Bombyx mori: one gene and its partner. The protein of the gene in region 1 binds, or shares a complex with, the protein of each later gene. Links are inferred from orthologs where the notes say so. Each region holds a gene or a part of one and is shown in the gene's direction. Other genes may lie near its edges.

Evidence for each region.
Region 2: transmembrane protein 231 (region 1) and transmembrane protein 216 share a complex: the UniProt entries of both Homo sapiens proteins name them as parts of the tectonic-like complex. The link is inferred for Bombyx mori from reciprocal best matches to the Homo sapiens genes TMEM231 and TMEM216.

The regions. Positions count from the first base shown.
Region 1 is NC_085110.1:12,598,559-12,602,800, forward strand, and holds transmembrane protein 231, read left to right. Parts: upstream 1-1,320; 5' UTR 1,321-1,339; coding exon 1,340-1,478; exon of another isoform or gene 1,479-1,522; coding exon of another isoform or gene 1,523-1,556; intron 1,557-1,653; coding exon 1,654-1,823; intron 1,824-1,996; coding exon 1,997-2,125; exon of another isoform or gene 2,126-2,170; intron 2,171-2,265; coding exon 2,266-2,494; intron 2,495-3,144; coding exon 3,145-3,404; 3' UTR 3,405-3,541; downstream 3,542-4,242. Other genes in the region: mitochondrial import inner membrane translocase subunit Tim21, read right to left, coding at 3,788-3,934, 4,108-4,242. UniProt on the Homo sapiens protein: Transmembrane component of the tectonic-like complex, a complex localized at the transition zone of primary cilia and acting as a barrier that prevents diffusion of transmembrane proteins between the cilia and plasma membranes.
Region 2 is NC_085132.1:4,411,230-4,414,403, reverse strand, and holds transmembrane protein 216, read left to right. Parts: upstream 1-1,227; 5' UTR 1,228-1,359; coding exon 1,360-1,603; intron 1,604-1,782; coding exon 1,783-1,976; 3' UTR 1,977-2,382; downstream 2,383-3,174. Other genes in the region: mRpS10 (mitochondrial ribosomal protein S10), read right to left, coding at 2,490-2,751. UniProt on the Homo sapiens protein: Part of the tectonic-like complex which is required for tissue-specific ciliogenesis and may regulate ciliary membrane composition.

The DNA.
Region 1 (4,242 bases):
TAAACATGTAGGCATGCAGTAACATTTATTTTGTTGTCACGACAATTTTTCTTCCTCTATCCCATTGCCATAGATGGTGAATTTAGAATTGTTCAAGACTCGTAATTTTTGTCTTGTTACTTATTATTAAGTATTTTCCATATTAAATTGACCATCTTATTACCCGTCATTGAGAGTTAATATTAGAATATAATACCAATATAAGTTACAGTGAGTAGATGTCAGTGAATTCAAAACATCAAAACGCGGGACTTTCATAGTGCACTTAAATATTAAAAGTACATAAAAGTTCACTAGGGTACCGGAACATTTAGAAAGCTAATAGGTATATATTTAATAGTATATTAAATACTGTATTGGCGGAAAAGCTTAATTCATATGCACCTTGAAACGAAGTGTCCGTTTGAATGGCCGGCATTATGAACCAAACCCGCCTCCCTCCCTTTGTCTACGCCAGGATCCTTGCTGAAAAAGATAGTTCACTTTCGTAGATGAATGAATGAGTTCACGTAAGATTAAATGGTCGTTTAGGCCAATAGACAACACAAATGCCTTCAACCACAACCCTGGGCGTCTTAACATTAAGCTATGGTGCATGTAGAAAATTTTACAATAATAAAATATATATTTTATTCTTTAAAAATAAACGATAAACACCTATTTATTCTGACTCTAGAAGCGTAAGGTCGGATCTACTTCTTACTGAGTGTCTCTGAAGAGAACTCGTATCAATATTGAAGAATTTTGGACTCCGTTCTCAGAAAAAATCTAATCTTTCATAATTTGGTGAACGTGCTTACTGTTTAGCTGGAGTTGAGTGGTTACGGGAGCCCATAGACATCACGACATTAATAGCGTCCCACCCTCCTTGAGATATGAGGTTGATGTCTCAATGTTATAGTATAACGGCTGCCCCACTCTTCAAACTGGAATGCATTACTTTTTCGCGGTAGAAATAGGCAGGGTGATGTAAGTATGGACTCACACGAAGCTCCACGACCAGTAAAGATTTATGATTGCTAAAATGATCATAAACCATCCTAGAATCAAAGAGTAGAAAAATTCTATATATGTAAACGAGAGCTATAGCTCGCCCTTTGACCAGTTGATGTTGAATCATTATTTCTTTATATTCCTTAATTTAACGCTTCTAGAGTACATATATATTTTTGATTCAGGAATTTAAAGTTTGCATTTAATTGTAAAATAATTCAGAAAAACCCTCTGCCCTAAAAAAGTCGTTGCTTAGCAACGGTTTGTTTTGCAGGTCAATGCTATTGATATTTAACATTTTACGCATATTAGTACACCGAAAACACTGTAAATTTTATATTTTAAAATGAGCTTGTACAAATTGTTTAGTTCAAATGTCGAAATACAGTATAAAAGTACCTTCCTTTCCAAAGCCATGTTCTTTACTCTTTTTACGTCTATCTTAAATATTATACTGCCTTTTATTATAGCTCAGAAAAGTAGAGGTTAGAACTCCAATTTAGCCTTGCTAAAATCAGCTGAGTGAACCATGTCCAGAAAATACTTAACAGTATACAGAAACGGTCCTATTATCGTTAAAATTAAATTATTTGAAATAGCCAGTAATTACCGAATAGATATCGAAATATAAGATCGTAATACAAATATGTATTTTTACAGGGCTCTGGGTGAAATATCACAGTTTTTATGAACAGCCAACTGTTCATTTTACGTATGAGTATGTACTAATAGCCGAAACTGAGGATCCCAGTAAACCCATACTTTGTACAGAAATTGGATTGTTTGGTAATGATAATGAAGAAAGCTCTGAATCATGTGCAGAAATGCAGGTAATGAATTTTTATCGAAAGAATTGTACTGTGTAAATACAAATTACATAACTATATAGACAATGAGTTTGTTATGAAATAAGACTAAATACACTGTGTAGTACATTTTATACTGATAACATGACCAACTACAGTTTTTGATGAATAAAATTATTAAAAACATGTATTTCCAGGTTCAAGAAAATGATTTCACTGGAGATGGCAAAAAGGATGAGCTGTATATTAAATTTCACCTAAATATACCACCAGACAGAACTGTGTCTTCTATTTTATTAATTTTATCTCTTGATTTTCAGCTGAAGGTATTTTTAACTATTTTTGACATTTTAGATATTTAATAAAAAAAGGTACTAAATCTTTTCTGTTTATTTATATTTTATAAATAGGTGCTTTAAATATGGAACAAATACTTTAATAGAATCCTTTTGTTTTCTTCTTGCAGACAATATGCCCTTTACAAATGCAGAGCTTGGCATTGATTACCAAAGAGTTTGTAATACCACCATCAGAATTAATTTTTCATGGAGATCTAAATTTTTATCAAACCACCCACTTACCTTGTGAATGGTTTAATCAAGATACGAAATATAACAGATCTTTATTTGAAATTGAAAAATGGGAAAGTTACATGTCTATTGATCATTATCTGTCTGATTATTTTCATAGAGAAGGTAAGATTATTTATTTTTACAAATATACATTTTGTGCTTATTCATATTTTAATATTGGTAACAGCATTGAAGACAAAAATAATGGCTATTGTTGTGCAGCCACAGACAGAAGGCCATAAACCTACAGTAATTTTAACACAAAATTGTAACATTTATCCTGAGTTAATAAAGATTTGATTATCAATGATAATCCTTCTTTAGTAAGGCAAATAAACTCAAGTTACTTAATAAAAAACATAATGCTCCACTGTCCATTGGATCAAAACTAATCAGGTATTCATTCTTTCAACAGCTAGATAATAGGCCAAAGAAAGTTACTTGATAATAGTTTGTCTATTATTTTTCATAATCTATCCACAGTAGATCTAAACTTCCTGGTTATCCCAAATTACTATACCATTCGGGCGCATTGAAAGTCCATACCAGTTACAAATCAGTTATACAGTTCTGCTATTATTTCTGTGGTTCTGCTGCTGCCATTAATTTCAGTTTGAAGTGTGGGTTTGCCTTTATTGATACGTCAGCCTAATGTGATCTGCAGAGTAGCATTCAAGTTCTAATGTTACCAGAGTCCAGTAACCACTGATATAAGTAAACCTACAGCATATTTATTCAACTACATTCATAACCAAAAAATAAACTATTTTCAGTTACCACAGAAGTCAGAACGATAAATTCTAGAACCTACAATGGCCAGACAGATTCTATGACTGTTCAAGTTCATCTAAGAATTCCAGAGATGCAAATAAGATACACTCCTAGTATACTAGAAGAGTTTAAGTGGGCTTGGCCTCAATATCTCTCTTTTGTAGTGATATTCCATTGGTTCTTCAATAAAGTTAAGGAATTTATATTTACCAATCGACTTCTCATGTCATGGAAAGTACAATCTTGGAAAACATTTGAATGACGAACTTATGTAAGATCTATAAAATTGTACTGCGAAATAATTGATTTGTGCCAATTTCTAGTCTTCACTGTAAAATTCACTTTAATTATTAATAAGGATAAACATGTTTTAATGTTTGCAATAAAATGATATTATAAGCATTAAGTTTCATTGGCTCAAAGAATTTAATTAATAAGATTCATATTCCAAAACTATTCTTATGGTGTCAGAAGAAGGTATAGTATTCTATATATTTAAAAGATTTCAATATGAAAGTGCTCACTATATTTATTATTTTTTAAACTAAAACTTTACATAATAATATGAAACGAAACAATTTTATTTTGCTAATCATTTATTCGATATCTACTTTACTATTTACATGTTACATAGTTAATTTTATATCACTGAGTGAGAGTTAAGGTTGGAAATGCGATATCAGGTTTGGTATTATCTAATTCAGCTCGGTTGTCCTCAATTATAAATGTTTTTCCACTGTAGTCATCAAGTTGTACCAGCAAATATCTGCACATATAGTTTCCATAATCATTCTGAAAAAACAAGTGTACTGGTGAATTGGAAAGATTTTAAATGAATTTATTAAAATAGAAAATTTTAAACAGAGATTATAAGAAATTGATGAGGTGTATACAAATTATTCAGATGTATGGTGTTATTTGAACTTTTAAGTTGTTAAACACATTTCTATTTAAACAGAACTTACTTGTTTCATATCAAGTTCAACAACACCTTTATTTCTTATCCCTTTAATATAGAATCTCATTCTCATATGTTTCACTCCATCTTTTTCATATACTGCATGACTGACATGGGTACGTCTTCTCCTAGTTGTTTCTTC
Region 2 (3,174 bases), on another chromosome or scaffold:
GTATTCGAGTGAATGTGAGTGACCCGTATAAAATACTGATTAAATTTGTTAATTAAAAAAAAAGTGAAAAAGTGTTAGGTATTTATAAAATTAAATTAAATAATAAACTATAAATGACCATTTCTTTTTTTGTCTTAAAGCACTATTTGAGGCCGAGATGCGATTTCTTAACCAGCATACTGTATTCATCAAACCGCATTTATTGTTCTCAAAGCGTATTGTATAGCTATATCTGTCGCAAGCCAGTAAGGTGTTCCAGTATGAAGAGTCGGGTTGAAGTTAGTCTGTCCATCTCGAAGCAATAAAAATATTGATAATTTACTGGTAGGTTACAGGTAGTAGGACGTATTGGAAGCCCGTATGAGTAGATATAATAATGATCCTGCCCATTTCTACCGCAAAGCAGTTATGCATTTGAAGGATGGATCAGCTGTTATATAATAAAATTGAAACTCTGACATCATGTCTAAAGGTGGGTTCGCCATTATTCTTATGATGTTTGGTGTTTGGTATCCACTTTACACCAGACGAACCGTGAGCTTTTAGACTTCTCTAAATAAAAACACAGTTTTAGTGTAAATAACACAGAAAAAAGCCTTGTAGTAGTCAAATATTTACTGGGCGCTATAATATAGCAAAGAGCTTTTTTTTATTTATAGCTTAGATGGGTGAACGAGTTCACAGCCCACCTGGAGTTAAGTGGTTACTGGAGCCCATAATCTATCTACGACTATCCACATCTACAACGTAAATGCGCCACCCACCTTGAGATATAAGTTCTAAGGTCTCAATATAGTTATATTGTCAGTCTCATGTATTTCTCATGTAGTTGTATTGTCAATCTCATGTATTATCTCAGTATTGTCTATATATCTAATGTTTCTTTAGGTTTAAATATGTAACAGCGGTGATTTATTAACTGTTTAGTATCTGTGGAAGTGCACAAATGTGGGAAAATGAAAAAAAGTCGCTGGACGTTACTTTTCAGGATTCTCCGAAAATTCCATTGAGAAAGTCTCAGTAATTAACCACCATTTTACTGACAATATATTTCATTCTATATTATCTCATATCATTTCATTTAATTTGCCAATTGCCAATTGATTAATGTTCCAAATCAATCAACTTCGTTTCTTTTCATTTCATATTAATAATATATTTTTTAATTTTTTTAATATATAAAAGATTTGGCTGTATGGTATGATACCTGTGCCCTTCCAATTGAAAAAATAAAACTACTACTACTACAAATTTCAAAAAGTGTAAACAAAAACATTGATTTTTATTACATACGAAACCTCGAAACAGCCTCCTCTCAATTTAGAAACTTTTCAATACATTCGTACAATTTTATAAAATATGGAAAAAATGTCGAAAGTAACAAACGTTAATTCGAGTTTGGCTTATGAGATATTACTGTATTTGAACAGTTTTTATTTAGGAATGTTTATCGTTTGTGAAGTCGCAATGGGGATATTGAAGGCTATAAATGTTTCGTATCCAGAAAACGCTCTATTAACAGAAGCCGGAATATTTAGCGCCCTATGCTTTGTAGAGATGATTAGGATCTTTTTGGGGCGTAGAGGAAACTTAGCAAGCAAAAGTAAGTATCGTATATATTCAATATTCTGCAAAAATATATTTCAAGATTCGTTGTTGTACGGAATATGTACTAAATCGCAAAAAAATATTTTGTGTCTTAAGTAAATTAAAATAGAAACTATTTTCGTTTCGTTCAATGTTACTTTTCACCATAATATGTTAACAATGTTTTTGTTACAGAAATACCGGTCTTTCTGTCAGTGCTATTGACGATTCCCTCTGCTGTAGGAGTATGTTATTTTCTAATTTATCAAACTTACATACTTCGGTTGGAATACATCTGGTGTGCCGTCATGTTAATGTTCCATGCTCTCGAGTTTGCTTTTGCAATCTTATTTATTTTTACTGTATGTAAAAATCAACAATTTGATTAAATAATGAAAACCTGAACCTCAAATATTGCAAACATTCCATATTTTTATTAAATATAGCATTAATTCAATTTGATCATTGTAATTACTCTTGTGTAGTAAACTAGGATTACTAAAAGTTAGAAACATGTGAAAAAATATAATCTCATGCCTTATGATTCTCCTTACTTTGTTGTTAATCTGGTAACATTATATTTACTAGTCTGCATTTTTATGTTTCTAGCCATTTGTAACATTAGTAATCCCCTTTGTGAAAACTGCATTAGAATTACTGTGATCATCTTATTATATTATACCGCTTTGAATAAAATCAAGAGCAACATGTAAATTAAGACTGTTTTTTTAACTTTAATGTTCAAAGTTGGCTTTTGATCTTTATGTGTCTGTTAATTAAATATATTTAATTTAATTTTATTGATTTTTAATATTTATAAATTAGAGTTGGTGAAAAATAAAGTATTAAACTAAATAACATTTAACTAATTTATTTTTATTCTAAATTATTACAATGGCAATTCACTCTTCGCTTTCTTTCTTAGGCGGTACTAAATGTTCAGGTAACTTTTGACATTCAATTTTTGTAACTTTCAACGCACAACCTTCTGGCAGATTCCGTTCGATATATTCCAAATATGTGTCGCACGTAGATCCAGTGAGCCTCTGCATATGTATAAACCTGAAGTATGTACGAATTTCATACTGCACTTTGTGTTTCTTGTAAATGTGTACACATTTTAAAAGTGTGTGCCTTTCTTTCTCTGCTTTCCTTAGTGCCCAACTGAAAAAAATAAAACTAACTAGTAGTATCTCTTTTAGCACTAATAACTTAAATTTAAATCTTTAATATGAAGGGTAAAATTTTAAATTGTAATAAATCATCTTCAAATGCCTCTATCTCCCTATATTTCATTATTTCATTACTAGTACAGGTATAAGGTACATGTAGTTTTAAGTGATAACCAGAGCCCATAGAAATCTCAATAAATTTCGATTCTATTGGCCGTCCTACCTTTCAAAGCAGAGCACATTATTATTTCTCAGCTGAAATGGGCAGGATTGTCGTACCTATCCATACAAGCTTTCAACTGGTTGGAGATCACATATATACACAAGTATATACACTCATTTGGAAATTTGGGGTTTGGGGAAGGCTTAACGACGAAAGGAAAGATCTTCCACCGAGCGGATGATATTGCTCGGT